Linked DNA regions of Diceros bicornis minor. The protein of the gene in region 2 purifies or fractionates together with the protein of the main gene of each other region. This does not show direct contact. Links are inferred from orthologs where the notes say so. Each region holds a gene or a part of one and is shown on either strand. Other genes may lie near its edges.

Region 1 (15,775 bases), on a different chromosome or scaffold from region 2:
ACAGTATAACGGTTCCTCAAAAAATTAAACATAGAATTACCAGTGATTCCACTCCTGGATATATATCCAAAAGAACCGAAAGCAGGGACTCGAAGAAATATTTATACACCAATGTTCACAGCAGCTTTATGTACAACACCCAAAAGGTGAAAGCAACCCAAGTGTCCATCGATGGACGAATGGATAAACAAAATGTGGTATATACACGCAATGGAACATTATGTAGCCTTATAAGGGACAGAAATTCTGAAACATACTACACCATGAACCTTGAGGACATCAAGGTAAGTGAAATAAGCCAATTACAAAGGGATAAATATTGTATGATTCCACTTGTATAATGTACCTAGAGCAGTCAAATTCACAGAGACAGAAAGTAGAATGATGGTTGCCAGGAGCTGCTAGGAGAGGGAGAATGGACAGTTATTGTTTAATGGGGACAGAGTTTCAGTTTTGCAAGATGAAAAAGTTCTGGAGATGGATGGTAGTGACGGTTGCACAACAATGTGAATATATACTTAATACCACTGATCTGTACACTTAAAAATGGTTAAAATAGTAAATTTCATATTATGCATATTTTGCCACAATAAAAAAATAGGAAAAAAATGATTGAAATGGCAAATTTTGTTATATATATTTTACCACAATAAAAAAAAAAGACTCAAAGCAAATGGGTTATGACCCTTAGTGTGAAATGAACATCAAGGTAAACAGTCACCTCGCAATTATCCACCAAGGGTTTAGAGTTGGATGGCCAATACTGGACACTCCAAACGTGTTTAGTTTAAAATATTTCTGTAGCACTTTCATGGAAGTCTGTCTCAAAAAGATCAATAGAGCACACAATTGAGACATATGCAATCTGCCCAAGGTACAAGGTGAAAAAAGCTCAATCTCATTTAAAATTCCTCTCTGCTGAATACCCTCGGCACCCCCACTGCACGGACTGCCAGGCAGCTCAGCCCTCTTACTCTATGCCCAGTATTTCTGTGGCTCACGTCTTCCCAAGGTTACAGGAAATTACTGAAGAGCCTCCTTGCACTGGCCTGCAGAAAGTATAGGTGGTTGGAGCAAGGTGGAACAAAAAAACTAAGACAAAATATTTCTCCTACGCTGCTGACTTTTTCAAGAAATAGAAAGCCAGAGTACCAAAAATCACTCGACACCAACGCTAAATCAGCAAATAGTAATCATGGTACAGAGCTAGAAGAAGCCTCAGAAATCTAGTCCAACCCCATCACCAAGCTTCCTTGGACCCAATGCCACCTTGGAAGTGCTGAGAACCCTACAGGACTGAGCAAGTCCTCAGGCAATGCTAAACTTCTAGTTCGACTGTCGTACTGAAAAAAATCCAAGCCTCAGGTAGTTAAAAGGCTCATCAAGATGTTGCACAGTCAGGAGCAGATCCTCATCCAGGACTCTTTCAAGGACACCACGCTGACATTCAGATTCTAAGTGCAACAAGGGAAGGGCTCTCCAATCCTAAAACAAGCAATGTGGCCGCTCCACATGGCTCCTGGCAGCCAGCCCCACAATGCTGATACCTGATGGGTGACCTTGGAGACTTCAGATACCACCTGCTTCCATCATAGACATACTGTGGGTGGTGACATCCGTGTGTGCATCTGGAACTCACTCTAGCCTTCCTGCACTCCCACAGCCGTCTGTCCCTGCGAAGTCACCACTTAGGAACCTGCACGTATTTCTGAAGAGGATCCGGAGTTACACAGGGACACACCACTCATTCTACACACGGCTGACTAGTCATCAACTCAACAGGAATTTACAGAACACCTACTTCGGGCCAGGCTCTAGTCTAGGCATTAGGAATACAACAGCAAATGTGAATCTTGGTGACCCAAAGCCATAGTAAAAGCAACCCTGACATCTGTTCAGCATAGTTACAAGGAGCTCTCACACAACCCTCAGCAATACCAGGAGAATCCCAGGTTTCTGTTTCTAAGGCTGGTTCCAGGCTGCATTGCTTGCCAAAGGAACAAAATGCTTCTCTTTTTTTCTTACCACAAACTGTCAAACAGCATAGTGAAGTAATTATTGTTTTAATTATTTTGTAGAGTAGGAGATAAGCTTAGAAAGGTCAACTGCCTTGCTCAAGGTCTAGAATCTAGTGAAGTCTGACCACTTCTCCCCACCGCCCCACTCCAGCAATGACCTCATCTGCTAATTGTATGGTCACACAAAGATGAGACCACATGTAGTGGACATTCACCTGCAGTCAGACCTGCACAACATCCTTCCTGATCTTCTTCCTTTGGAGAACTGCTTCTCCTCCTCTAAAGAACCAAACAGTAATGGTACAGGCTACCAATCACAGCATCCCATCACCCTATCCTATTGGTTGGGTCCACTGCTGGGCCCATCTTAGTCCTCTAGCCCCAACCACAGTGATTGGGCCTCACATAGACACATGACCCTAGCCAGGCCAATCAGAACCTTACCATGAGATCTTTCTGCCTGGGCAGATCGGCTAGAGCTCCCTTTATTCTCTGGTCAGGGGCGGTGAAGATGAAGCCCAGAAGGGCTTGAGTCCATGTCCCAAGCCCATGGGAAAAGCCTGCAGCGTTCATAATCAATCATCCAAAAGCCAGTTTCCCCAATCCAACCCAATGTTTTGGAATATTATACAATAAATTTCTTTTCTGCCTAATATGGTTTGAGCTACATTTCTGTCACTTTCATTAAGGTACCCTGACCTAATAATACATAGAGGGATAAATAAAATCTGCCTTTCTCTTAGAAACCTCTTCTCAACCATTATTTTCAAGTTCCTCCACCACTTCCTCTCTATAACACAACTAAAACAACCAAAGGAAAAACTACAATGGTTGGAGCTTTCCCTTATGTCCACGTCCGTCGACCCTCCAGGCAGAGTGGATGAAGAAAAGGTGGCAGGTACCCGAGCAAGCACGGAGAGAACAAAAGGCCCAGATAACCTCTAAGGAATAATAAATAATCCATATCTGACAATCAGCAGCCAACTGCCCTCATCCTGCTGGAAAAGCCTGGCAGAGCTATTCCTTAAAAAAAAAAATTCCTCCAGCTTTAACTTCCAACAAGTGTACAGTGCCTAAATTCCAAGTGACGTCCAAACCCCTCGCTCAGCCTAGACATCACGGTCCTCCAGATTACCTCTGCATCCCGTCCATCCAGAGCCAATGTCAATCCCCTGCTCTACTCAGGCACACACTGCTCCTGTGACGGCTAGGCCTCTGCTCTCGTTGTATCTATGGCCCAGAAGGTCGCCCTCCCTTCCCTCTGCGCATTCACAGCACCCCTTCAATACCCAGCTCAAGCCCCAGTCCCTCCGTGAAGACTTCCTCGGCTTCTCCAGCAGACACTGCTGTCTCCATTCTCTAAACTCTGGTGAAGCCAAGTCAGCCAGCTCGCTAGGCAACTAAAGAGGAGGCATGGAGGGGACGAGGACACATTCAGCTCTGAGCACACAGCACACGCAGAGAGGATCATCAAGTTCTGCCACTTCTGCCCCACAAGAGAGGCCTGGCGTGAAATGGCTTGGGGAACCCTCCCCATTTAGATGGTAATTAGAGCCAGGAGGAGGTGGATGACAGTATTTGGGGAAAGCACGTAGCATACAGAGTTTTAAAAGGCGGAAAAAGCCTGCTTGCATTTCTATCACTCAACTGATCTGTCTCATAATGTCGCTCTCCTGAGTGTCTCATTCCCCCAATGAGGCAGTGAGCGGAGGGCTGGAATTACATCCTACGCACCCCCGTCTCTGTCCCCTCTGGACCGAGCACAGGACCAGGCACTTGAGTCGTCCCCAGTCACATTCTGCTCTCCTGGGGGCTGAGCGGGCAGCCTAGCACCCTCAGCCCCGTTTCACAGATGAAGACGCTGAGGTTCCTGGCCAGGAAAGGGCCCTCACTCCAGGGGCAGGCCGTCGAGGATCCTCAAGTGAGAAAACCCAGATGTCAGCAACTGAATCAAAGACAAAAAGCAAAGGATCCTGGTACAACTGTGGAAAACACACAAGAGATCTGAGTCACTACGAGGAGAACAAGAGTTCTCTCCTCTCACTACCACCGGCGGGGGCAAAGGTGACCACTTCTTCCTTACAGATCCAGGGGTCGGGACAAGGAAAGGCTATATAATTCCAGAGCTCCCCGATGCAGGAAACAGCCTGAAATTCCAGTGGGAGGGCCTAATCAGGTAACAGGAAAAACCGCCCCAACACGGAATCAGGAGCACTGAGCTTCGCCTCGACCCGGGCTCCTTTCTGCCCTGTCCCCACACCTACAGAACCCAGTGTAACGCAGAAAAGACACCACTCACCTCCCGGGGTTTCCACGGAATTAAGGGAGATATTAAAGTACGTGGTAAGATACAAAATGCTGAACAGCAATGTATCGTCAATCCTGGGAGTCCCAACACCCTCCAAAATAAAACAACACTGTATTTTCTTGGTCACTTCACACCCCAGGCCTGAGCACGCTGGATTATAAACATCTGGGGCTCTAACAGAGCATGAGCAGAACGGACAGGTTTGGTTTGCTCACTTGCCCAGTACCACCTAGGACAGCTTCCTCCCAGTTCCAGGCCCCATGTTGGGGGACTGCCAGACATCATGTGCCTGCAGCACAGCAAACTCCCACAGCACACAGTGCCACCCAGGGGATGGGCCTCCCGAAGCAGGGCCCTACACGTGGTGTGGAATCCACCAAGGAAGCCCTTACTGGGTGATGGTGGCACCTCCTATGTAGAGATGGTAACAAAAGGGCCTCCCCTTGACGCTATGGATCCTCGGGAAACCAACTGGTTCCTCTCTCAGGCTCCCACAAGGGGCTTGCACCAAAGCCGACTTACAGGCAGAGCCGTGGACCTGCCTGCAGAGTGGAAACTGCTAGAGAGAGTAAGGGGGCAGGACACGGTACTGGGTTTCCCCGACTTTGGCTCCTTGGAGATGAGACAGGTGCTTCCATCCCTTCAACCAGAGCAGCTCTTTTATGTACTGCTCCCTGGCTAAAAGAAAAAATAAGCTGGTACACCCCTGCAGAGCAGTTCATCCTTTACAAAGATCCCAACACTCTACTGTCTACTTGCACACCATGTCACCCTCTCCCCCAGAAGCTCTAGATGGTACCTTGCCATATCAAATGCTATCCTAATTTTTTTCTAAAGTATTAACTAAAATGAACTTAAATTCCCCTTGAAAATTATTCTTCTGAGGATTTCATGATCCTCTGGCAAAGTTACAGAACTCTGCATTCTGGTAAAACTAGGGTCTGAAATCACTTCCCTCAGGGATAAAATCCAAACCCTATTCCATCCCCTCCTTAGAGGTCAGGACCAGCTCCTAGAACTTCCACCCTCTGAGGTCCCACCTTCTCCACCAGGCATGAAAAAGGGAGAGACCTAATTAATGGCAATCATCCATCTATTCCAGAGATTAAAGCTAGCGCTGATTCAAACACACCCCAACAAGGACTTGAGTCTGCACTCCAACTTCTGCACTTCCTTGATAAACTTCCTGCTTCAAAGATAGACAGATGGATAGACAGACAGAAAGCAATTAAAAAGAAAAAAAATTACCCCGATGAGAGTTCCCTCTGTCCTCATCCTCATGGCCACATCTGACAGCCCTTCTTAGAATCTTCCAAAGCACCATTCACAGGAGAGAACTGGGTTTGCCCAGAAACTCAGATACAACTACAACTGGTGGACAGACTCTAAGTGTGGGGGGCATAAATGCCACAGAGTTGGAAACCCAAAGTGCAGACAGAAGGGCCACCAATGGAATGATGTGCTGTGGGCCCGCAGTTTAGGGTCTCTGTATGTCCATTTCCTTTCCTATAACAAGTGAGGTTGAGATGGCCAATATACATTGGAGCTGTTACCCGGAACGGTAACCCAGCTTATAAAATCATCCCCTTGAGAAGTGAGGCTTTTAACAGCCAAATAAGCATCAGTCTTTGGCCTACAGGTTGCTAAGGGCAGTTTGTCAGCCCTCTCGGATCACTCTTAAAGCAAGGACAAGACATAGAAAAGGTGGCACTTGCTGATTTCTGGCTCCAAAAGTGTTCAATTAAACAAAAGGTCATAATTGAAAACTTCTGGTTTTCAATACTTTGAGCATTTTAACCAGTCCAAACTGGAATTTTCTCTCTGGCAAAGCAGGAATAATAGCTCACAGAGTGGTAACAACTGAACGTGATAGAACAGGGTGCCTGCCACAACAACAGGTGCCTAATAAACGCTGGTTCTCTTCCTTCCTCAGTGCTAAGCCTTCTTCCTCAAGCTTCCTTGTCTAAAAAGCTGGCTTTCCACACTCTTCAACCAGACCAGGCCAAGACTACCACTTGTCACAAACTCCCAGCAGTACTGCCCCCCACACACACCTACAAATCCATCACCCACCACCCAAGGGAACCAGCCACCAGTCTTCCCTCCTCAGGCAGCTCAGCACCGTCAGGGAGCGATCTGAGCCCCAGCAGCCAGTACTAGGATTTTCCCATGGTGCAATGCAACTTCCCCAACTTTTCCGGGCCCATAGTTTCCAAAGAAACCTAGCAGACATTGTGCATAATCAACCACAAGTCTGAGCGAGCACACAGATTTGAGCTCTGGGCAGAGGGAGATGAGCGAGTCAGAAAGTGAAAAGACACCAGTGGTCCTGCAAGGGGGTGGCAGAGCCCAAAGCTCGGGAGTACCGGTCCTGGCCCTGGTTCCATTCTTCTAGGCTGTATCATTAATTAAAGACTAGCAGACGCTCCCAAAGGACTGGCGGGTGGCGAAGAGCCTTAGAAAAGGGACTGACGGCCACCCCTCCGAGGTCACCGCGCGGCGGAAGCTGGTGGTCTCGGGAGGACCCTGCTGCCGTGGCAGCCGGGAGAGTCAAGGCCTGCAGTGCCGGCATAGTTCAGAGCAACCGCTGGACTCAGGGTGGGGGTGTGAAGCAGGGGTCCCCGCATCGCCTCCCCTCCCTAGACCGACTCCTTTAGCGGCCAGCGGCAGGTAGACTGGTGGCCCTTGTGAGTCACCCCTAGCACAGCTGGAGAGAGAAGTCGTGGAAGGCAGGTCCGAGAGGCCGGGGCGGGGTGACACTCACCGGCGCCCTCGGCGGGCTGCGGCGGCCCGACGACGCCGTTCAGGTAGAGAATGGGCAGCAGGTGAGGCTGCGTCTTCTCCAGCGCCGCCCGCAGGTCCTGGAAGTGGTCCCGCTCCTTGGCCAGAAGCAGCTTGAGCAGCAGCTCCGCCTTGGCGCCTCCCGCCTCCTCGTCCAGCTGCCGCCGCTCGCCGGGGCTCAGCGCTCCCGCGGCCTCGAGCAGCCCGAGCACGGCCTCCACCTCCGTCATGGCCTGGGCCAGGCTCTGCTGACACTGGGCGAGCAGCTCCCGGCGCTGGGGCTCCATGGTGGCGGGCCGCCCCGCCCCGCCGGACGGCTCCCGGGCCCCCGAGGCCGGCGGGCGCGCGGGCTGGCTGCGGCGGCGAGGGGCCCCGCAGCGCCTCGGGGCGGCGAGCGCCCGGCTGCAGCCCTAGCGCGCCGGGAGCCGCGAAGCGCAGGGGGCCATGGGCCGGAGCCGGGGCCTGGGCGGGCTGGGGGCCCGGGCGGCGAGCGGCGCTCAGCAGCGGCCGCCTCCCGGGCTCAGGAGCGCAGCCATGTTGGCTGCAGCGGCGGCGGGACTGGAAGAGGAGGAGGAGGAGGAGACGGAGGAGGAGAAGGAGGAGGCGGAGGTGGGGACGGCGGCCGGGGCGCGCCCCGAGGCCCGGCTCCAGCCGGGCATGCTCCCCCCCCGCCCTCCGCGCCCGCCCGCCGCTCCCTCCCCGGCCCCGCGAGAAAACTCGCCCCGAAACCCCGGCGCCGCCCCCCAGACAAGATCCCAACTCCGCAGGGAAAGCGGCCAGGCGGGGTGCGCCAGGCCCCCGATGGCTCCGGCCCGGCCCGGCCCGTGCGCCCCGGTCCGGCTCACCGGGGCCCCGCGGCCGCCGCCCGCTCCGCCATGGCCCGAGCCCCGCCGCCGGCCCGCCCCGCCCCGCCGCCCTCTCCCCTCCCCCCGGCCGTCCGTCCGAGCGCCCGGGCGGCCGGCCCGCAGGGGATGGGCGAAGGGGAGGGGTCCCCGGCTCCCCGCCCCCGGCCCGCCTGGGAGGCGGGGACGCTGCGCTCGCCTGCTCTCCGGGTCCCCGAGGCCCAGGCGCCGCCGGGGATGGGGGACGCGGAGTTGGGGGCCCTGCGTGAAGCAGCCCGCACCCCCAGCCCCCTCGGCCGTGCACACGGCCAGCCCCCAAGCTATTGGAGACCCCCTCAAACAAAGGCCTGCCCCCAATCCAGAGTCTCCTAATCTGAGAACTCCAAAATAAAGCCTGGAGACAATTGAGGGAGGGAGTGCCCTAAATTGGACATCTCCAAGTTAAGACCCCCCCCGAATCTGTGAGCTTTCCCCACTCCAAGGAACTCTTATATAGAGAATTTTCCAGTATACTCTCCCAAGACTCGGTTAATCAGGATCTTTCCCCTCACCCCCATTTTAGATGAGTTGGTTCCCAGAGTCTAAAGAGGACTGGATGTTGGGAGGAGGGGGAGGGGGTGTGTTGTTGGATGAGAAAGAGAGGTGAGGCTCTGCAGGGGAGCCATGGATTTTTTTGGCAGGAGAGGTGTTCTCCTCCCTAGATGTCACCCCCAGATTCTAGCTAGTCTGGAGAAGGTAAATCAATGGGCTATGGAAACCTTGCTTCCCTGATGCCCTCAACCAGGATCTACAGTCCGGCTCCAAGTCCAAGAACGTCTGCCTTCCGTTACAGCCCTTTGTGGACACTTAAACCTCCCAATTGCAGGAGGAGGGCCTTAAAAGCTGGAATCCCAACGGATGGCTCTCAACAACCCCACGGCGCTGGTGTGGAGTGGGATCCCAGCGCCATTGCCAACGCCTCTGTTGGAATGAGTGAAGTTATTAACAAGCACTGGGGGCCACAGGTGCTTTTTCTACTGACACCGTCACTCCCACCCCCACCATTTTCTCTCCTCTCCCCAAAAGCAAAGTTTTCTACAAGATTCTGCTTCTTTAAGGGGAGGAGTCGCTTTTATTTAATGGAAACAAACTCTACATATAGTGGTTAGAACACAAGTACCAGAATTTACACTTCAGTTTTGGATTTCCCTGTAAATAGCTGCACAACGTGGGAGCAAATCAATTACTCCAGCTGATTTCAGTTTTCTCAGGAAAATGAGGAGACAGTGTATTCTTTCAGGGGTTATTAGCCTTGTGTTCATGAATAAGCTCGAGGGTGTCAGTGAACATTTGAAATTATCTGAACTTTCTTGTGGACATGTATGTATTTTTCTGGGATGGAGGTGTATAGCTTTGATCAAATTCTTTAATGACCCAAATGGTGGAACTAAACTCTTTTACCCGCTGCTCAGATAGTCTGGGCTTCTACGGCTGAGCAAGGTTCTAAAGAGAGGAGAAGGCTGGCTATTGCACAGTGCCAAGGTCCAGACAGGCTCCCTAGCTGTCCCTCCCCGTCCTGCCCCTGAGAGATGGTTCCCTCTTCTGGCCACCACTTCCCCTACAGCAACTGCAGAGCCTAAATCATCCACAAAGGCATCCACCCTTCAGGACACACCTGGACCTCTGTTCTTAGCTGGATTAACTAGAAATCTAGAGGGTGAGAGGAAGGTGGAAGGGGAGAGGGGGAGAAGTTGTAGGTTAATTTGGTTTATGCTTAGAACCAACTCTGGGTAAATCCCAGATCCAAAGGGTGTCTGAGATAGGAGGGGGCAGGAGGGAGGCACGGTCTCCCAGTAACTCCTAAAAGGATGGTGGGGAACATGTGTGTTTAGCCTCTGGAAGCCTTCCCAGGAAGCAGTGAGGAAGTCCATTTGCTAAGAGGGTTTTCTCCCAGGTGCTGTACAGTGATAGACACTACTTTCAGCAAACCCTTTATTGGAAACTCTGGGGTTTTATGCAAAGCATAAATTCTAGAGGAAATCATTGACTTTAAAAACACGTTAAACTTTAGGATTCCTTTTTTTTTTTTTTAAAGATTTTATTTATTTATTTTTCCCCCAAAGCCCCGGTAGACAGTTGTATGTCGTAGTTGCACATCCATTCTGGTTGCTGTATGTGGGACGCAGCCTCAGCATGGCCGGAGAAGCGGTGTGTCGGTGCTCGCCCGGGATCCGAACCCGGGCCGCCAGCAGCGGAGCGCGCGCACTTAACCGCTAAGCCACGGGGCTGGCCCATGGGATTCCTTTAACCTGTGACCTTGGTATAACCTTGTATTTCTGTAGCATTTTATACCCTTCAGGGCAGCTTCCCCCACATTATCTCCTTTGTGCCCTGTTCTGGGATGAATTGTGTCCTGCCAAAAGATACGTGTAAGCCTTGATTTCCAGCGCCTGTGAATGTGACCTCATGTGGAAATAGGGTCTTTGCAGATGTAATCAAGTTAAAATGAGGTCATACTGGATTAGGATGCGCCCTAATCCAATGAATGGTGTTCTTATAAGAGGGAAATTTGGACACACACACACACGAACACAGGAGAATACCATGTGAAGTGGAGGCAGAGATTGGAGTGATCCATCTAGAAGACAAGGAATGCCAAGGATTGCCAGCAACCACCAGAGCTAGGAGAGAGGCCTCGAACAGACTTTCCCTCAGAGCGTCCAGAAGAAACCAATCCTGCTGACACCTTGACTTTGAACTTCTGGCCTCCAAACTGTGAGCTAGTAAATTTCTATTGTTTTAAGCCCCCCAGTTTGTGGTAATTTGTTATGGCAACCCCAGGAAACTAACGCAATCTCATCACAATGGGGGAGGAAGGAAAGACAAAGATGGGTTGCCCCATTTTACAAGTCACTGTCACCTCACCCTTCCACTGCCTAAGAATTTCTCTTTAGTTTTACCTACCTTTCCTCCTTTTTTCTGATCTTAGAGAAAGAGGGCCCCTCCTCCTTGAGAACAGCCCTCTCATGCTCTGGATACAATCCTTGTATCCTGGATACGCCCCCTCCCCCCCACACACACACTCACACATATACTCACATACATTCATACACACACTCACATGCACACATTCACACCAGTCTCCCTCTGCTATGGCTCAGGCCTCCCTCCCCTTTGTCAACAAAGAGGCTCTGGTGTCCCCATTCTCAAGGGCTCCCCTGCCCTCTCTCATGTCCTTAGGAAAGAACCACTGCCTGACACGGGGACCTCCACATGCTCATAGACAGCTCAGTCCTTGGTTAGTGCTTTGCAGTCCAGCTTTTGAGCACAACTCCCCATAGAAAACTGCTCTCTCCCCATTAACCTCCTGATGCCACCCAGGGCCTTTCCTTCACACCTCCTCCGGTGTCAACTCCGCTCTGCTTCACCCCACCCTGAGAACACCTTCTTGTTCTCCCTCTAACCCCTCCCTCACCCATGGCTCCTTTCTCTCCAACTTGACTGTACATTCCTCTTCTCTCCCCATACTCCCTCCCTCCCAAAGGGTAATCACTTTGGAGCTGGACAGATATGAGCTCAGATCCCAATGCTGACGCTGGCTATGTATCCCCCGGGCTAGTTACTGTTCTGAGCCTCAATTTCATCTCAAATTTGGGAATAAACCTCACCCTTTGGTGGGGTAATTAGGAGAGTTCGATGACAGGCCTTATACAAAGCCTGAGCACAATGCCTGGTATCTGGCAGGCATATAAACCCCCTAATGTAGTGCTTGAGCAGGTAACTTCTGCAGTCAGAATGCTGATTTCAATAATGGCTTTGCATGGGCCGGCCCTGTGGCTTGGTGGTTAAGTGCGCGCGCTGCGATGCTGGCGGCCCGGGTTTGGATCCCAGGTGCGCATCGAGGCACCACTTCTCCATCCATCCTGAGGCTGAGTCCCACATACAGCAACTAGAAGGGTGTGCAGCTATGACATACAACTATCTACTGGGGCTTTGGGGGGAAAAAATAAAATAAATAAAATCTTAAAAAAAAAAAAATAATGGCTTTGCAACTTACTAGCTGGGTAATGTTGGATAAACCTCTCTGTGCCTCAGTTTCCTCATCTGTAAAATAGGAATATTACTAATAGGATCAAAGTAGTTAGTGCTCAGTCAATGGTGGGTGTCACTGTTCTTTTGGCTTCCACTCTCTCTTCTGTCTGAAAGGAAGGCCTCTCTGCAGCATGTAGCAACAGGTTTTGAGCAGATGTTTCCAGGTCCCTGAATGAATGGTTGTGGACTCCAGCTGAAAGACTTCCATTTCGCTTGTATTCAGAGAGCGGGCGAGGGCAGGGGCCCCTTCTACCTGGTTCTCTGCTGTATCCCCCTAGCACAGCGCCTGGCATGTGGTAGGGGCTCATAAATATTTTTTAATTAACAAGTGAATATGTAAAGGAATGAACGAACTAAAGAAGTTTGCATTAAGGCCTCATTTCAAGAATACTATCTGCTGAAAATGGAAAGATGAGGAATGAGAGCACCTGAGAACAGAGCAGGATCAGAAGCAAAATGAGAGAGGTTCACAAACTCACAGATGCCGCAGGATGCGGGCGGCAGGTTGGGAGCTCAATGGGGGCACCTGAACTCTGCCCACTATGGAGCAACCACCCCTGGGGGGCTCAGTACCAAGCTCCCCACCCTCTCCTGCCTTGCCCTGCATACAAGCTTGGTCCACCAGACCCTGCTAAAGATGCCCCTGCTCAGAAATCCATCCCCCAGTTAAGGTAGTCCTGAGGCCACGGCCCCCTCCAGGTTTCTGCAAGCACAGTCCTGCCAGGGAGCATTAACCCTTTGATTCAGAGCCCATTCTGCACGTTCCAACTTAGGTGTTACCTGCTTTAGGAAGCCAGACGTGCCTTACTGACCTCCTCTCAAAAGGGCTGTCTCTGCTCCTTGTTGTCATTGCAACTTTTTACTTCTCTTTTATTAACATTTAAAAACTTATATTGTTAAAATTGTCAACTCATTACTCTATATCCCTGTGGTAGGCAGAATGTACCCCCCAAAGATGTCCATGCCCTAGTCCCCAGAACCTGTGAGTATGAAATATGTTACGTTTCATGACTAAACGGACTGTGCAGATGTGATTAAAGTTACAGACTTTGAAATAGGGAGAGCATCCTGGATTATCCAAATGGGCCCAATCTAATCACATGAACCCTTAAAAGCAGAGAATTTTCTCAGTAGAAAGGATAAGTTTCTCTTGAGCAGGAGAAGGAGAATCAGAGAGATTCCAAACAGGAGAAGTATTTGACTTGCCATCACTGGCTCTGAGATGTAGGGACCCACATTGGAGGACCAGAGAGAGGCTCTAGGAGTGAAGGGTGGTCCCCAGCTGACAGCCAGCAAGGAGATAAGGACCTCTGCCCTACAATAGCAAGGAACTGGATTCTGCCAATTGCCTGAACAAGGCTGGAAAAGGATTCTTCCCACAGCCTCTCGATGAGAGCCCAGCTGGCTGACACCTTCATTTTAGCCTTGCGAGACCTAGTCAAGCCAACCTGGACCTCTGACATACAGCACTGTGAGATACTACATGTAGGTTGTTTTAAAGTTCTAAGTTTGTGGAAATTTTGTTATGGCTACAATATAAGGCTAGCAGTCCCCAAAGACGATGAGCTCTGCGGGGACAGAAGCAATATCAACTTGTGCACTGTTGAGCCCCCAGCACCTGCCATAGTGCCTGCCACTTGGTAGAACTCAAAAAACACCCTGTTCTGGGCCGGCCCCGTGGCTTAGCGGTTAAGTGCGTGCGCTCCGCTACTGGCCGCCCGGGTTCGGAACCCCGGGCGCGCACCGACGCACCGCTTGTCAGGCCATGCTGAGGCCGCATCCCACATACAGCAACTAGAAGGATGTGCAACTATGACATACAGCTATCTACTGGGGCTTTGGGGAAAAAAAAGGAGGAGGAGTGGCAATAGATGTTAGCTCAAGGCCGGTCTTCCTCAGCAAAAAGAGGAAGATTAGCATGGATGTTAGCTCAGGGCTGATCTTCCTCACACACACACACACACACAAAACACCCTTTTCTATGAATGAATGGAAACCTACTCCTCCAGCAGGACTTGCTTTTGGGGTAGTTATTTATGGTATCTTTGAAAAACAGAATCTAGTTCTCCACTGGTGATTGGAGGGCAAGTTTTCAAATGAAGATACCTAGAAACTGGGCCTTCTCTGCAGACTGAGGGAGCTGGGGCCCCAGGGGCCTCTGACCCTGGACTTTATGTCCTAATGGATAAGCAACAGCTGTTCCCTGGAGAAACAGATCCTGGTGCTCTGCTCCACGTGTGCAGCTCCTTTGGCAGTCAACAGGGCCGCCTTCGAGAATGTATGTGCAGATCGTGTGTGCACGTGTGAGCATGCATGTGCACACATGCACAACAAGAGTGTGAGGGCACTGTGGGCAGGAGTGTGAGTGTTTCAGTGTGAGTGTGGGTGTCTGTGAGTACCAACTGCACTAGTATGAACACTTGGATGTGTGTGAGCGGAGAAGCAATCCTTTCTAGGATCGTTTCTCCCTCCTACCCTGGAAATTGCAGGTGGCCCAACATCAGAGATGTGACACTTAAAAGGATTTCCTTGAAGAGTGCCTTAAAAGAATGAATTCCCCCAGGATGCTGAAAATGGAATTCTATTTATGAAAATGCCATATTTCCCACAACTTTTTAGGAACACTATGACATGAAATGAACCATACCTGTTTAGAAAAAAATTAGCTTAAGCTTGGCCCATGATAGCTTCTCAAATCATGAAGACATTTTTCTTCAAACTGCCTCTGTTCTTAGTACAGGAATAGCCCACAGGCAAGTGCCCTAAGATTTTACAACAGGAAATCTGAGAGAGGCCCATACCTAGTAATGAATCTTGCCCAGAGTGCCAGGACAGCGCAAAATTCTGAGATCAGAGATGCAAATCCTAGGAAAGGATTAATTTATGATTAACAAATAGTTAACAACTATTTTTTGAGTTCCTACTGTGCGCCAGGCACTAGGCTAGGCCCTAAGACAACCTTCCTTGTTTTGCAAATGAAGAGCAGGAAAGTTGCTTGCCCAAAGCAACACAGCCAATTACTGTCAGAACTGGGGCAAGAATTTAAGTTCACCTCAGTTCATTGCTCCCTCTGCTCCAGCCCGTGCCCTCCTTTGGCATCCTCAACTTCAGCTTTTAGTCCCTCTGGGTACCCACCCAAACTATAGCAACCCTGCAAGGGTGTGCCCCAGCTCCTCCCCTTTATCCTCCTTCTTGTTAAAACACTCCTAAGGTGTCATCTTCTACAGAAACCAGTTTGAAGTCGCATTTGGAAAGGATCTCTTACTATGCGATATCATCTTCCTGGTTACTTCTCCCAAAGGACCCATAGTTTGACAACAATCATGCTGAACCTCAGGTCTGAACAGCCGTCCCGGTGAACCCTAGTGGGTCAGAACTGGCCAGTTTAGTCTTCCATCCATTCTGCAGAACACTATACTACTCCCTGACTTCCTCAAGAGTCCTCGCTAGCTCCCCATTACCTACAGGACAAAGTGCAGCTCTTTAGCTGGACATGCAAGCCTTGAGGTCTTCTAACTTCATCTCCTATTGTCCTCCCCTGACCCCCGCCAATGCCCAGTGACCGACCCTCTCTGTCTCCCCTTGGATCCCACTCCTCCCGGCTCCTCTTTACCTGCCCAAACCCCTCTCATCCTTTAGGGCCAGGAAACCCTCCTGCCAACCCCACCTTCCCCTCCCCTGAACTCCAGAGTGCTGATGCTTTGAATCACTTTCCCCCTGTTGCCATTATCTATTGCCACACTTCGTTCATGAGT
Region 2 (15,973 bases):
GTGAGTGCCCTTGTGGCTTCCCAGTACCCTCAGAGGATACCGTGGACAATGTTCGTCATTGTCCTCTGAGGACAGGGGGCAGATTGGAGCCCCCTTTGGCCTGTTTCAGGGACCACTCACCACAGAGTCTGGGGTGGGTGGACAAGGCCTCCCCGAGCAGGTGAGTTCTCTTTTCTGAATCCCCACCCCAGCCCCAGGGGCCGGAGCCCACTCAGGCAGAGAGAGGGCCCTGGAAGGGGGTCTCACCTGGCATTTTCCGGTGAATCTGCTGGAACATTCTCCGGTACCAGTCCCTGGGGCTGTCAACACTCTGGGATCAGAAAAGGCAAAGTCAGGCCACCCTCCCAATATCAAGTCACCAAAGTGTTCCCTCACTGAGTCCTTTCTCTGGCCACCCTTGAAGCCCCAGTGGGTGGGCTGTTATCTGTTGTATCTTTAATAACAGTAACTTCACGTGGCGTGTTCCATATGAATAAGACACATGGAAGCATCTCCATCAGTGACGACCTCTGAGCTGTGAGATGGGGGTGGTTTACGTTTTTTCTCTTTGCTTTTCTATATTTCTGATGTTTCCACAAAGAACATGTGTTTCTAGGTCATGAAAAATAAATGCAGTCATAGAGGGGGAAATGGTATTTCACATCCCCTGCCTCACCTGAGACTCACAACAGCCCTGGGTGGCGGGACAGGCATATTGCCAACTTCAGGTTCAGATGAGGAGGCGGAGAACCAGAGGCAGGCGGCTGGCTCAGGACAGGCGTGGAGGCAGAAGTGGGCAGGGCCCCCCAGAGCCTGGGCCCAGATGCTTCCATGCCTGCTATGGCGTGAGGCCTCTCACTCAGCCCCCCACTCACTCATTCAGCCAGTCATTCATTGAGCAGCCAGTTCACGAGTGCCGTGCAAGGCCCATCCTTGCCAGGAGCAAGCCTCCCAACAGTGGCTCTCCGCCTCAGAGAACTTGGGGGCATTCTAGCTCCCCTTTTCCCCCCAACAAACCACTTGTGCAACTCAGACACACAAGAGTGCCTGTACCTTTATGGGGCTCATGACCCCCGAAACCCATCATGGTTGAACCCCTGCTTTAGTCTGGAATGGTCTGGGTACAGCCCTTGTGGCCCCTACTTTAGTTTACAGAAGTGAACCATCATCTGTCAGTGGCCCCCAGCCCTGGACTCACAGATCGGGGGGCGATAGGCATGCCGCTCTCATCCACAGGCCCGATTCCCTCGTACTTGACCCAGCGCTTGTCCCGACGTTTGCTGTCCTTAGTCCACGTGGCTGACCAGTTCTGGGGATGCTGGGAGGCTGGGGTCTTCTGGCTCCCAGAGGGCCGGCTCCCAGGGCCTGGCCAGGTCTGATACCAAGCAGGGTCTGTGGGGTGTGTGCAGGAGAGCGTTAGCAAAGGGCAGGGACCCCACCTGAACTTGTTCGTCCCTTAGCTCCTCAGAACATTGATCCCTGTTGGTTCAAAAGTTTCAGCATCTCCTTGTTTGTTTGAGTTGATGACGCAGACTCTAAAAACCTCCCCATCCCCAGCAGGACCACGAGCCTCTGTTTATTTTTTAGTAAAAGTGAATGAGAATGGATTTTGTCTTGAGAAATCTGTGCCCACCCCCACCCCACACTGCTTTCCTAGGGCTGTCCTAAGACTTTTCAGGATGAGTGAGGGCTGAGAATCATCATTTGCAGAGAATGCTGGGGACATCCCAGCTAGGGAGGCAGTAGGATGTGGCAGAAAAGACGCTGGGCTTGGAGGGGACAGACCTGAATTCAGAACCCGGCTCTGCCACCTACTGGCTGTGTGACCTTGGGCATAGCAATCAACCTCTCAGTACCTCAGTTTTCACACGTGTAAAACGAGGGTAATCATGGCAAAGATTCAGGGAGATCTCGTGTGTGTGACCAGCACAGTGCCTGATCCACAGTCAAGAGGCTCTCGATAAGGGACAGAAACTCATTCACCAGACGTGGTTACTGTGTCCTCAACTTCCCCAGAACCTCAGCCCCCAGGTCACCAGTATAGCAGCATAAGGGCTGCCAGGCCAGACAGACAAGGATTTTTTTTTTTTTAATAAGTTTTTTATTTTTTAATTTTATTTATTTTTTTCCCCCAAAGCCCCAGTAGATAGTTGTACATCATAGTTGCACATCCTTCTAGTTGGTGTACGTGGGACGCGGCCTCAGCACGGCCAGAGAAACGGCGCATCAGTGCGCGCCTGGGATCCGAACCCGGGCTGCCAGCAGCGCAACGCGCGCACTTAATCACTACGCCACGGGGCCGGCCCAACAGACAAGGATTTGAATCTCAGCTCAGCCTCTGCAACTGCACATCTCTGAGACCCAGGCTCCTTACTGAGAAGATCCTGATAACTGTGACTTACCTTGCCAGGACACTGAGGGATTAAATGAGAAAAGGCTCCAGCATGTTCTAAGCGTTCAACAATTATTTGTTAAATGAATAAACTACTTGACACAGTGCCCGCCTCAAGGGAATGCTCAATAAAGGATGCCATCCTCCTCAGGAAAGGGGCCTTCAGGGTGGGCCTGCACCCCAGAGGTCCCAGGATCTCCCAGAGCCCATAGGCCAGACTGGGGAGGTTCACAGGAGCCCAGGAGCTGAGAGGCTCTCCAACTTTCTGCTGTGCTGGTGAGTACAGACCTTAGGGTGCAGCATCCACCCCTCTACAGCCAACATATGCTCACATTCCTCCACCCTTCCATCCCCGGTCCAAGCTATTTCCTGGCCTGCTGGAGGCCACTCTGGGGCCCAAGGCTCTGTCCCCTGTACACTTCCCTCGCCTGGCACTGGGGGAGGGGAGGGGAAGGGATCTATCAGCCTGCTCTCTCCCACAGCGAATTTCACTCTCATAGGCCAACACGCTCACACTGGGAGGGGCAGTTAGCTGAGCTCAGAGGCCCCCCCATCCCTCCCCTACCCCTCCTGCCAGACCCAGGGTGGTAGCAGATGGCAGGGCCCAGGAGGCTCTGATCCCCCAACCCCCACACGGGACTCCTGAGCAGACCCACCTGGGTGCTGGGAAGCATCTCTCAGTGGGAAGTACCCATTGCATACAGTCCTGGGCGCAGGGTCATGGAACTGGAAATTAAGGGTGTTGGAGCCACCATTCCGGATCACAGGCACCTGTGGGAAGGGGCCAGGAGCAGCAGCTCAGGCCCAGAAGGTTCTGCAGAAGGTGGGAGGGATGGCTACCAGGGCACAGCCAGAGTCCATGGTGAGGGCTCGAGGGCCAGCCTGACCCTTCTGGGGGAAAGCGGCGAGGCTCTCTAGAGCTGCCTCCCAACCCTTCCCTCCCTCCATTCCTTTAATCCTCCTGCCCCTATCTGTCCTGCGAGGTCCCCGCCAACTGTGGGCTCACAGCACTCCCTCTCCCTCGCTGTCTCACTCACCCATGTACCCCGGGAGGATGACCCTAGGTGGGCCCGGAGGTGGCTAGGGATGAAGTCATCCAGGCTGAGCCCAGTGGGGAGGCTGCAGGGTGGGGCCTGCATGCTTGGGTCAAGGTCGGAGGACTCCCGGTGTGCCAGCTGCTCCGCTGTTTGTCCTCTGTGGGGAAGGAAGGAAGGAGGAAGGAAAAGTCCTGCTGAGCCCAGGCTGCTGTGCCCTCTGGGCCTGACCCCAATAGGGGTGGGGGAGGAGGGCACGGCTGTGGGAAGGGGTCGAGACCAGCTGGGTGGGAGCTCAAGGACCCAGGAAACAGCCGCTGCAGGCCCCTCCTGCAGGCTGCCCCATGCCGGCTCCTAGAGGCACAATGGGCTCTTGTTAGGCCCCAGGCAGGAGCTCGGGGTGGGGGTGGGAGTGGGGGAGGGGAAGGCCCAGGCAAGGAGGAGGGGAGGCTGGCTAGGAGCAGGCCTGCTGGACAAAGCCTGGGGCCCGTGGGCCTGCTGGTCAGCCCCTCTGGGGCTCTCACTGCACAGTGCAGCCCGCTCCCCCAGAGGGAAGGCAGAGGGAACTGGGGCAGCTGGCAGGGGCAGGTCTGGGCACTCAGCATTTTGTTTCAGTTCCCTCTGCCTCCCCCAGGCCCTGCGTGCGCATCTGCTTGCCAGGGGGCACAAGGGGTTACTCAGGCCGGGGAAGAAGCCCTGGACAACGGCAAGGCCATCCGCCCACTGCCCAACGGGGCCAAAGTTCTGGGGACGGGGAGAGTGTGGAGGCATTTCCAGGCAGCAGGAACCACTCCTGGACTCAAAGTTTCATCTCCCTTCTTTGGCATCCTTCGCTTGCTGGGACTGAAGCCTCACAGGGCTCAGGGTGCCAGTGAGGAGTGGGAGTGGAGAACGAAGCAGTGGGTAAGGGCTCTGTTGGACTTGCTGATGGAGGGGTGGTGCTGAGTGCCGCACACAAAGACACATACATGTGGGCACACCCCACTGCCTCCTACACCTCCAGGCTCTTTTTTGAACGAAGGATCTTCCTGGAAGCACCATGCCTGACTGGCCAGCCGGGTTCTTCTGCCCCATGCAAGGGTTGGGTCAGGGTAAGGGGGCTGCAGGCACTCTGGAGATGGAGGCAATGGGGCTGTCCAACAGGGCTTTTCTACCCAGAGGGCTGAGGTGTGGAGCCTGTCTCTCCTCACCTGTGCTATTGCACCGGGCCAGAAGCTGAGCCAACCTCCACCACCTTCTGGGGCTAGACCAATTCTGGCATTTTTGTTCAGCGGTTAGCCTTGTGTGTGCCTGTGGTGTCTGGGGGTTCATGGGAGGGCTGCGAGGGCCTTGTGAGGTGCTGTGTGTGTGTGTGTGTGTGTGTGTGTGGTAGAATGTAAGCACAGTGCTGTGAACGCGACTTGGGGAGCGTACCACCCAGGGTCACGTGAGCAGAGTGGGGGTATGGGTACAGAGGGGTGTCAGCTGAGTAATAGGTGGGGGAGAGTGCAGTGGGGGGTCATATGAGCAGCACAAGAGTTATGGGGACCAGAGGGGAAGAAGGTACAAGAGGGGCTGTATTACTCCGGTACCCAGTTCCTGCTCAGGGCATGGGGGGCTGGAGGGTAGAGACAAGGCTGGGGGCAGCTCCCTGTCTCTGGTCTGAGTGAGGATTCCTTCTGACATTCAAAAGACCTATCGAGGACAGCTTTTCCATGCCCATCCCTGGCTGTGGAAGAGTGGAGGGCTGGGGCTGGAGGAGGGGCAGCTCACCAGCTGGATCCAATTAGGCCTCCTACCAAGAGCAAAACATGCAGACCCGCCCCAGTTCTCCTGCTCTCCCTCCCCTTGTGGGGGAAATTGAGGCAGGCAAGAGCCTGAGAACAGAGGCCTGGAGAAGGTTGGTTCCTAGCAGCAACCCCTTCCTGCCCAGCTGACTGCTTGAGGCCAAATTGCCAGGTCAGCATCAGCAGCCCTAACCATCAGCTGACCCGGCCTCCTTCCCTCGCCTCGGTCCCACCCTGCTGTGCTCGTGAGAACTGCCCTCTAGTAGGATGGGGTGGGGGCAGGAGGTCCCCCCACACACCGATTTTTCAGGGGTTGCTGATCCTTGGTGGCTCAATCTGCCCCTCCCCAACACTGTGCCCCGTGGCACCCCCCAGGGATATGCAGGGGTGGGTGGGGAACAGTGGCTGAGTTTTTCTCCTGGCAGCCAGCCAGGAGACATTAAGGAGGACTTATAGGGGAGACAGAGGCACGGGCGAATTGGTCCCACGCCCGGCAGAGGACAGAGGGTACCAGGAAATCTACGGGGTCCCCCCAGAATTCAGGAAGCCCTTCACCCCGGCAGCCAGCTCCAAAGGGCTGGAAGAGCTGCAGAAGCCGTGTTGGAGTCGGTAGGCTCCTTCCCACTTCCAAGTACCGCCCCGACCCCGGGGGCTTGGCTCTCGGCGCTTTCCCGGGTATTCTCCAGCTACAAGTCCACATGGACACGGCCAGGTTTCCTCGAATTTCGCCTTTTCTGAATTGAGGGAGGGCCTCTTACCTCTTTCCACCTCAGAGTTTGGGACGAGGACCCCAGGGGGAGGGGCCCTCTGCCTTCCCTTCGGGTCGGGCGCGGCTCCCTCCCGGCCTGCGGCCCCCGCCCCCTCTCCGCCCCTCTCCCTGCCGGCACCTACCTTCCCCGGCGAGCAGGTGGCGGGGCCTAAGGATGCCCGGGAGCGCAGGGGCATCTCTGCCCGGCTCCTGCCTGGCGCGGCCGCGGCGGGCGCTCGGGCAGGGAGGGCAGGCAGAAACCCGGGCTGTGCCGTCCGCCCTCGTGACCGGGTCAGGACGGGGCCCGCAAGGCCGGCGCCCGAGGGGAGCGGGGGACCGACGGGGCCGAGGGCGCGCACCGCAGGAGGACCAGGAGAGGCGCGGGCGGGCGGCAGTGTCGCCCTTAGTCTGGACTGTGGGCCGCTGGGGGGCGGGGGCGGGCGGCGACTCCCTCTCCCGCTGGCGGCCGGGGGCGTGCGAGTGCCCTCCGTCGGGGCCGGGCGGGCGGGGACGCCGGGGCCCCTGCAGAGGGGGCCGGGCCGGCCGGAGGCGGCGCCGGGAGGGGCCGCCGAGGGTCCCCGGGGAGCCCGCTCGGGTTTCCCAGCTGCCTCTCCCGGCCCCCACCGCAGGGCTGGCGTCGGGGCGGGGGCGGGAGGACCGGCGAGAGCCACTCAGAGTTTCCAGCGACATTTCCAGCGTGTGGGAAGGGAGCCCTGCGCGGCGGAGCCAGGACAGAGGGCAGGACTGATTCAAGAGGCCGGGCCGAGCCAGCAACTGATACGGAGCCGGCAGCCTCGGAGACAGGACAGGGCTGCAGACAGGCTGGGGCCGAGATAAGGGCGCCACGTGCAGAGCGGCCTAGCGGACCGAGTTCAGGTCCCGCCGCCTCCCTCCGCCCCTGGGGAGAGAAATCTCGTGCTTGCGTAAGCGCGTGCCCGGCGTGTGCAAACACACACACACACACAGGCGCGTGTGCACTGCAAACGGGCGGATGCTCACACACGTGCAAGCACCGCGGAGGGCAGCCCGGAGAGGAAATCCACCGACGGGAGCTGGCCCCCTAGGCGAGCCGCGCCCCTGAAGAGGATGAGGGCGGAGTCCCTTTGGCCGGGATGGGGTTACCAGGGTCTTGGTGTTCCCATACGCGTGTTTGTTTTGATCTTGCTGCTTTTCCGCTGTTCCCGCTGCTCTGACACGGGTCCCAAGAGCCCGCGTCCAGTGGCTCTCCACCCCTTGGTCATCCCTCTTCCCCTTCTCCCCCAAGCCTCTGGTGGGCACAGGGCCTGTTATAGAAAGTGAGGGTGCTTACTGAATGTTTACTGCTGATGGAAAGACTCTGGAGTACTTCTTAGCCGTTGGCTTGGTTCTGGGACCCCAAGCTCCAAACCAACCATATAGCAAATAGTTATTGGGCAATTTCAGATCCATTTCGGGAGTGATCAATTATAAATTATGAAAATATGAAAACGTTTACTGCATACCTACTGGGTGTAAGATTGGTGCCCTGAGGCCACCATGCACTTCAGAGTGTTTTCCAAGCACATCATTCAACCTTCAGAAGGAAGAAGGAAGAGAATGGAGGAAAGATGAAAGAATCTTTTCTTAAATTCCTACATCGTTGATGCTATTAGCTTGATCCTTCCTCAATTCAGTTAAAAGATGTTTCCAGTTGGGGTGAACCAGCTTGAAACAATATCACACGTGAAAAGCAGAACGAGATGTTTAGGCTGAGAAGAAGCTTAAGAGAGGGAGGCATGCTGGCTAGCTCCCAGTGTCTTCAGGGTGGTGTGAGGAAACAGACTGGCTGCACCGGCAGAAGTGGGACCATTGGGTGCCCACTTGGAAGCAAATCCAAGGTTTCCAAGGATGAGCTTTTACATGATTACAGGAATTCTGTACTCTGCCAATTGGGGGACACCTTTGTAAAGGCAATGATTGCACGGAGCAGGGAGCTGAACGAGATCACCTTGAAGACCCCTTCCAAGAGTCAGTGATTTTCCAGGACAGCTGAAGGGACAGGGTTGGGATGGGTAGCCCTGCCCACAGACGACAGCTGCAGAAAGGAGTGTAGGAGCTCTCGGACTTCCTGAGGGCAAAGTGCATTTTCCCTTCCCTAAAGCTTGGATACTTACTTACCCACCCCTAGGCACCATCTCCTTCCCTCCCTCAGGGACAAAATATGTGCCCATGTCCCTTGTCATCAGTTTTTTCCCACCTGTCAGGATCCTCACGACTAAGAAGGGCCACATCTTTTTCATGTTCTTCCTTGTTCTCCAAAGATGGTGAAGCTGAAGATCTCCCAGCTCCAGGAATCCTGGCCATACCCTCTCTCACCAGCAGCAAGCTTCTCTCATTCTCTAGGGCTCTGACCTGGACTCCAAGATAAATATTTAACGTAGAGGGTGCAGCTGAGCTGACAATGGTCTCAACTTCCTGTGTGTCACAAAGGGAGGTGGCAGCCATGGGCAAGGAGCTGGGGACTGGCTACCAGTTTCATCTCTATGGGAATAGGGAGTCCAGTAAACAGCTTGTAGGAGGAGGCGGGGTAGGCCTTGCTGGAGGAAACCTGAGCCTTTCTCCTGAGCTTCTTGGACTTCTGCCTGTCTACTTAGGCCCGGGCTCTGCTGTGCTTATCACCTTCTCTCTCAGGACAGAAACTGCTTTGCCCTGGCACCAGTGGAAATCGCCCTCCTTCCCAGAGTCTTAGGCTATGTGCTTGGACAAGAGCTGTAACAGGATCCCTCTATCATGTTTCCTCGTGCCCATCCAGCTTGACAGAAGAGAGGATGAGAGATTGGTGGGAGCATAGAACATAAGGAACCTTGACCGACTCCTCCTTTTCTGCCCATATTTAGGGAGAAGAATCCCTCCTCTTTGAAAAGTGGAAGATTAAAGGGCAAAAAGTACCAAAGTCCAGAGATTCAGCCAAGAAACAGGTGTCTGATTTCTCAGCTCCTCCCTCCAGTCTCAGTTCTACTTGCTGCTGGCCCGACCCCTAAGACAGCTGGCATGGTTTAGGGAGAGGCTGAGGATAGGGAAGGCTGTCCTAGGTGACCTGGCTGTTTCAACAACAGAGTAGATTCCTTTCACCCCAATCCACTATCTCCTCTGGCGTCTGCCTTATTATCTAACAGGGACCTCCCTCCCTGTGACTCTTCCACATCTCTGGGACTGCCTTTTGTCAGGGGGCTGCCTCTGTCTTCTTAGAGCCACTTGAGCCATGGTAAACAAAGTTACATAACTGCTCTGTTTTTTCCTAGCTATCTGATCCTACTCAGCAGGATGCCCCACACCCACCCTGCTCCTTGAGGCTGCCACCTTGTACACTATGGATTATCCCCCAGTGGCACCCATGTCAACAGAGGTCTGTCCACGCCCACCACCCTAAGGGATGATTAGCTGAGAGACTACCAATAGATGTTGTGGCTCTTCACACCAAGGGGAGAAGAGGGTGGCTGTTCATACAGGAATACAGGTCACTCTGAAAACCAACCTCTGTTACCAAGAGGAGGGATAAATGGAAAGAGCACTTAAGTAGTTTTTTTTTTGTAAGTGAGGAGGGTGAACAGAGAATTTAGTTTTATTTCTCAAATGAGAGAAAGGAAGCAACGGATCCCAGAAGACATAAGCCTGAATTCTTGTTTCTTGAGGAGTGTCTTTTTTTTTTTTTTTTTAATTTTTTGTTTATTGCAGTAACATTGGTTTATAACATTGCAAAAATTTCAGGTGTACATCATTGTACTTCTATTTCTGCATGGACTACATCATGTTCACCACCAAAATACTAATTACAACCCATCAAAGGAGTGTCTTTATCTAGTGCTGGGAGTCTGGCATTCGAATGTCACCCTCTGAGATCTACCCTGAGCAGCCAAGGGGGCTCCCTGGCTCTGTGCCTCAGTCCCCCGACATTAGACAAAAGAAGGGCATTTGCTATTGCTTCTCTCCTCCTCCCCAGGGATGAACTCCTGGTATATTCTTTAGTTAGTTTTTTATTTGTGCTCTCAGAAATGAGTTTTCTTCTTGCCAGGGGAACTGAGCAACCAGATCAGAATGGCTTAGCAAAGAAAGCAATGTCCCTTTCAAGGAGTTTAGACTTCTCTAGAGGGGAAGACCACAGTGACCCATAGGAAAGAATTGAAACCAAGTCACATCAGACACACCAGTGCAAATCTGGACTGTGTTTCATGCCCTGGGCTCCATCTCTTTCTCTGGGTCCTCTCCTGATTCCAGCTCCTGCTGATGTTGCCAGCCAAATTCCACTGATGGCCCTCGTCTATGCCAAACACTCATGGGAACAAGAGCAACAGAAGAGGAATACAAGTGACCCACTGTGGGGCTTGGAAGACCCTCCTAAGCTGACAGTGGCATGACCTGGTCCCTCTGGAATCCATATTTTTTGATATAGTCACTGTAAAGTAAGGGATCTCTGTGAGTCAAAAAATACCCAATACAGGTCAAGTATGGTCAGTGTCAGGGCCAGGCAGCCAGGGTGAATAAGTGGATCCCTATGGGAACAGAGGATGAGGCTTTCAGGCCTGCCTTGCACAAATATTTCCATAGCACACACACGATGTAACAGGCATCTACTTAGGGTTCTCAGAGTCAACTATATGCAAACCCCAAAGGCCATGAGAGCACTCAGCCTTTTGTCCAATTATCTATTCATCCTTCTTCAAGGATGCCTCTACACTGACGTCACATCGGCCACTGTTGTCTCTCTCCCTCCCTCCTTTTGTAGATGAGCACACAAGGACAATGTGCAGATGGGGTGTCTTTGAGAAGAACCAAGCTGGATGAACCTCTTTTAGTTCTCACGAAAGAAAGAGCAAGTGGCTGTCAGCTCTTTAGGAAGCAGATTTTACAAGAGAAGGATAACTAAGTGATGACCTCAGAGGGAAAACCCAACCGAGTTAACTCAGCCACAAACAAGGGCACACAGACCAGGAGCTGGAAAACTGGGTCTGCATCAACCTTCTTTCCTAGAGCAGGTAAATGGAGATAAGGAAGATGAGAGGGCTGATTTCTTGGCCAGTAGACACCGCAAGGTAGTGCTTTGGCCTCCAAACAAAGAATAACCTTGTCTTCCCACCTCCTTCAATTCTATGATGAACCTTCTCCTGAATTGCAGCAACGTTAAAAAGACTGCCTAATTTGCCATTAAGTTATTAATCCACTGTATCAAAATTAAATGGACTTTCTTTCTAAAACCTGAAAGTTATGATAAAAATTTAAACAAAAAGATCATGCAATTACATACAGCAGGCAAGAAAGCAGGGACTGGATCTAGATGTAGTAAGAGTTAAACATGAATTTGCATTTGAGTTCTTAATTTCCAGGCTTGTAAAAATTTTTTTCACAACTCTGGAAATAAAGGCCAATATAACCTCATTCTACTGAAGGTTTAGCTGAGGTATAAGGACACTGCTAAGTCAGGACGCTCTTGGAATAACAAAAATCCCAAAATGTATACTCAGCTCATTTGAAAGGAGAAATCTGGGCTCATCTTCCAGCCTGTAAACTGCACTGTGGCCCTTGATATGGCTGTCCTTACAGTCAAATTGCCATACTTAGGCCTGGCAGGGCCCAGACCTAGACTTTCCACCTCTACTGCCATAGCCCATAGCATTCCTTCACTGATACATTCTCCTCCCCAAGGACCCTGGGCACTTTCCCTATCCTTAATCCCCCACTTGACCAGAGGAGGTTATTTTTCCTTGTGAATCCACAGCACCTCATGATATTTCTACTTTTCAGAGGAATCAAAAGGCTGGTCTGACACTTCCTTTTCTTGGTAGTCCAACTCCACATTCCACTCCTCTCTGGCTTATTTGACTTCTCTCAAGATGCAATTCATCCATGTCTATTATTAAGATCCCATGCAGAGTTATTAAATTACTATAATAAAAATTATTTTTATCTTTTGTAAAGACTATATGTTTTCTGGGATGTCTTTCTTCCTTTCTTCAAGGCGCTGGGACTTGAGCATGAGTTAGTGGTGGGCAAAGTGCCAGGAAGGAGGCTGGGGCGAGGGAGTGGATTCTGAGTGGGAGAAATAGAAACACCACTGCAGCCAGCAAAGCCAGTTTAAAACTAAATGGCTGAAGAGGTGAAGGAAAGAGGTCCTTTTTATTCTGATGGGATTCCTTTCCTTGAGAGGGGAATTCCTTGCAATTATCAGAGACCAGACATCAAACGTCAGGCTTTCCCTTGACTTCTGGAATTATTAAATCAGTAAGAGCCAAATATAAGTGCCTCCACTAGGAAACAAAGGAAATAAAGACACAGGGAGCCAATAAAGTTATCATTTAATTTTAAGAGTGTTTTCTTCTTTTTTGTTTAAAGATGACTTCCAACTTACAGTAAGAAATTTTTAACATTAATTTCTTGTTCACAAAAAAGATGTATTAAATGATTTCTGCCAATAAATAACATTTCCACCATTTTCTTTAACATGATTGAAAGCATGAAAAAGCAAGTAATCTCTAAGCACAAGCAAATAATCAATCCATCGTTCAGAATAGCCTTAAAAAAATTACACAACCAGCTAGCCTCATATATCTGACCACCTCATTTAGGAAGCAAAATGAGATCCTTTCTTGGAAAATGCCTGCTGACCAAATAGCTATTGGTCACAGTGCACTGAGAAAGGAAAAGTGAGGCATTTATGATGGCATCTTCAAAAAGGTTCTTTGACAAACAAAAAACTTCTTTATTGCCTCAAATCAAAATCTACGGTAGGCCTCCTCCACATTACATGCACTTCACTTTAACATGCAAAAAAAAAAAAGTTATTTGGAGACAACTATGTCAAGGGAGTAAAGGGAATCTGGGCAAGAACTTACAGGAAGGCAGTGCGCATGGCCCTACTTTAGAGCTGCTCAGAGGGATGGTCCATGTCCATGTCCTCACTTCTTGATCTTAAGCCACCTAGACTTGTCATGAGGGTGTAGAAGAGAAGATGCATAACCCTGTCTCAGACAAAGGTGTTATTTAGCAAGTCTTGCCAAGGTAGCTGGGGCGTGAGGCCAAGGCCTCCTGGGAGGGAATATACTCTCCAGTATCATCTTCACCTTTGTGACTGCATAGATGAAGGCAGCTAACCCTGACCCCATTCACTCTGGCTGGCCAGACATAGGCAGGTCAGGTCACAAGTCTCAAAGCAATAAAGGTTCCCTCTTTCACACTCTGTCAAAGGCACAAAGCTCTATTGTTAACACAGTTCTCTGCTCCTCTCAAGATAAGACTAACAACCTTGTTTTCGACTACACAACTTTCTTCCTCTACACACATCTGCTCTTTCTTATGGCTTTCCCACAAGCGTTTGATCACAGCAGTGCTAAAGAGGGACTGTGGCGATACAATGCTTCAGAACTGTCTTCCAGGTAATCTAAACCCTCCTCCAGCTACTAGTGCGGCTCCCTAGGCTGCCCTCTGCTCCCTCCTACAGCAGACTTCAGAAAAGATGTGGACTGGGTGCCAGACGAGGTGGTTATAACCACAAACGATTTAGGAAATTGGAGCCTCATCCTCACAACTGGGGCTCTGGGTTCACCCTCCCTCTGAAATCTTTTCTGCTTGGGTAGAGAAATCTGAATAATGCTTTGAAAAAAACCTGGGTTCTACTGTTACTATAACAACTATAATAAGTATTGGGGATTCTAGAATGATATCTCAATAAGTCTTTATGGGTTCAAAAATAATTTTCAATACAAAAACTGAAGGGAAAAACCTAACAGATTAATACAAAGAAAAACTATGAATCAGTCAATCTGGGGCAAGCTCTTCCTAAACCATTTTAACTGACTGATCACCCAGATTGGTTAGGAGGAACTTAATTCTCAAGAGCTTCAGTTTTATATTTATAGATATAGTACAGTCAAAAATTCTGGAGATTAGCTACAATATTTACATAAAACAAGGGAGGGTAGAGGAACAGATTTCAGCTTTACTCATTCTGAAAGGCTAGAGAGACTCTTGAGTAATGACCATGAGCAGCAAGCCCAGCTGTATCTCATGTAGGCATGGTTTATAATATTTTTTTTTATAGAGAGCAGCTGCCTCAAACTTTGTGTTTTAAAATTACTCAGAAGAGGATCTAAGGGACAATGCCAAGGCTGAAATGCCCAAAGTTATCCAATTTTAGGAAATCCCACCCTTGCTCCTTAATGACATTAAATAATAATATTGCCAAGGGTTTTTCTTTCCCTGAGCAGTGTCAGGAAATCATACATAAGTTATCAGGATAAAAAGCAAATCTTTGCTATTGAGAGAAAACTTGCTTCATTGAACTGCAATTGTTCATTTAGGAACAGAAAAGACAATCTAATTATAGATAAAACGATATGAAAAATACTGGTATTCCTGGAGAGGCTGATTCTTCTATTCCTAGGCAAGAGCCAGATCAAGCCCATCCGAGTGCAATAAGCCGTTTTCAATTTGCTGGTCAGTAGCCAGTCACAAAAGGCCTGCATATCAGCAATGTCTATACCCATAACCAAAGTGTTACCTTGAGTTACCTGTTACTCAGTGTTTTAAAGAACATTGAGGCTGCTTTTGTTTTAGTATCCCTATACATACACATACACACACACACCCCCACCCCCACCCCTAGCTGATTGTTTTGCTTTTGCTCTAAATATTCAGAACACAGAGATTTAAAAAGGACATATGTTTTGAACTTGTGTTAGATGAGGTTTTAAATTTTTATTAAAAAAGAATCATCTGCTCAACTTGCAATTTCACATAGTGTGGATGTAAACAAAACTGGGAAAACCAGTCCTTGGGAAGTGTCATGTCATTTCTTTTCTTTTTTTTTTTTTTTTGTGAGGAAGATCAGCCCTGAGCTAACATCCATGCTAATCCTCTTCTTTTTTTTTGCCGAGGAAGACCAGCTCTGAGCTAACATCTATTGCCAATCCTCCTCCTCCTTTTTTTCCCCAAAGCCCCAGTAGATAGTTGTACGTCATAGTTGCACATCCTTCTAGTTGCTGTATGTGGGACATGGCCTCAGCATGGCCGGGAAAGCGGCGAGTCGGTGTGCGCCTGCGAACCGAACCCGTGCCGCCAGTAGCAGAGCGTGCGCACTTAACCGCTAAGCCACAGGGCCGGCCCGGAAGTGTCATTTCTAAAATGGTACTTCACAAGAGTTCACAAAGGAGCCCTCTGACATGTCTAGGGAACTGATGAAAGGGGCTTCCCCAACCCCCACCCCAGATGAGAAGTTGAAAAAAATAAGGTCCCTGTGGACCTTAAAGTGAAGGAGAGCAAGAAAAAAAGTATTTTCAGTATCTTTAGACCAAGCAGCAGGGAAGATTTAATAAAACAGAAGAGGCTTTGAAAACAGCAATACTGCAGAGCTCTGACAGCAATTACAATGTCTGAAATGACGGCCCTAGGCAGGAATAATAGTCCTACGCAAACCCAGGGCAGGCAACCAGCCATCTTAGGGGCTACTGTTTAGATTAAAACCTTCAAAAATATGTTAAAACCCTCCAACAATGTTTAAAGTGAGAACAAGTCCTGTTATTCCAGTATATTCCTAAGGTTCATGCCTTCTACACTGTCTTGAGTCACTGGTGCAAAGTGATTGATGGTCTCACTTTAAGAGGCTATCTGTACCATATAGACACACCACACAACTTTCTAAATTGTTGAAATACACATTCCAGCGTTCTACAGAACATAATACCTTTACCTTTAAAATTCAACAGAATTTTCAAACCTAACTTCCCTCAAGAAGTTGTTGCTCTATATTAAACTTACTCCGATTTTCTTGAATCATGACTTCTTACCTCTCTACTCTGGCTGATCCTTCATCAGCTCAAACGGTACCTGTAAAATACATCCTTTTGCCAAGTGTCTGTCAAAGAAACTTGCTTTATTCTACTACTTCTTTTTGAGAAGATAATGAAGACATAATTCCTGAATAATCATCCTTTTTACTAGTACAATATTATTTTTTGCTTATAAGGATTTGTAATAACTATTTCACTACTTGCCTGCTGATTGAAGCGTTTAAGAGTGGTTTCTGCTTGTGGATTGTGGCTATCAA

What was found.
Region 1: the proteins of SORBS3 (region 2) and DLG5 purify together in Homo sapiens (co-immunoprecipitation; 3 studies listed by BioGRID and IntAct, with this or other methods). This does not show direct contact. The link is inferred for Diceros bicornis minor from reciprocal best matches to the Homo sapiens genes SORBS3 and DLG5.

Annotation. Positions count from the first base shown.
Region 1 is NC_080745.1:29,209,125-29,224,899, reverse strand, and holds the start of DLG5 (disks large homolog 5), read right to left. Parts: upstream 7,744-15,775; 5' UTR 7,395-7,743; coding exon 7,091-7,394; intron 1-7,090. UniProt on the Homo sapiens protein: Acts as a regulator of the Hippo signaling pathway.
Region 2 is NC_080750.1:71,324,227-71,340,199, forward strand, and holds the start of SORBS3 (vinexin), read right to left. Parts: upstream 6,244-15,973; 5' UTR 6,063-6,243; intron 3,566-6,062; 5' UTR 3,511-3,565; coding exon 3,409-3,510; intron 3,143-3,408; coding exon 3,028-3,142; intron 1,372-3,027; coding exon 1,178-1,371; intron 311-1,177; coding exon 247-310; intron 1-246. UniProt on the Homo sapiens protein: Vinexin alpha isoform promotes up-regulation of actin stress fiber formation. Vinexin beta isoform plays a role in cell spreading and enhances the activation of JNK/SAPK in response to EGF stimulation by using its third SH3 domain.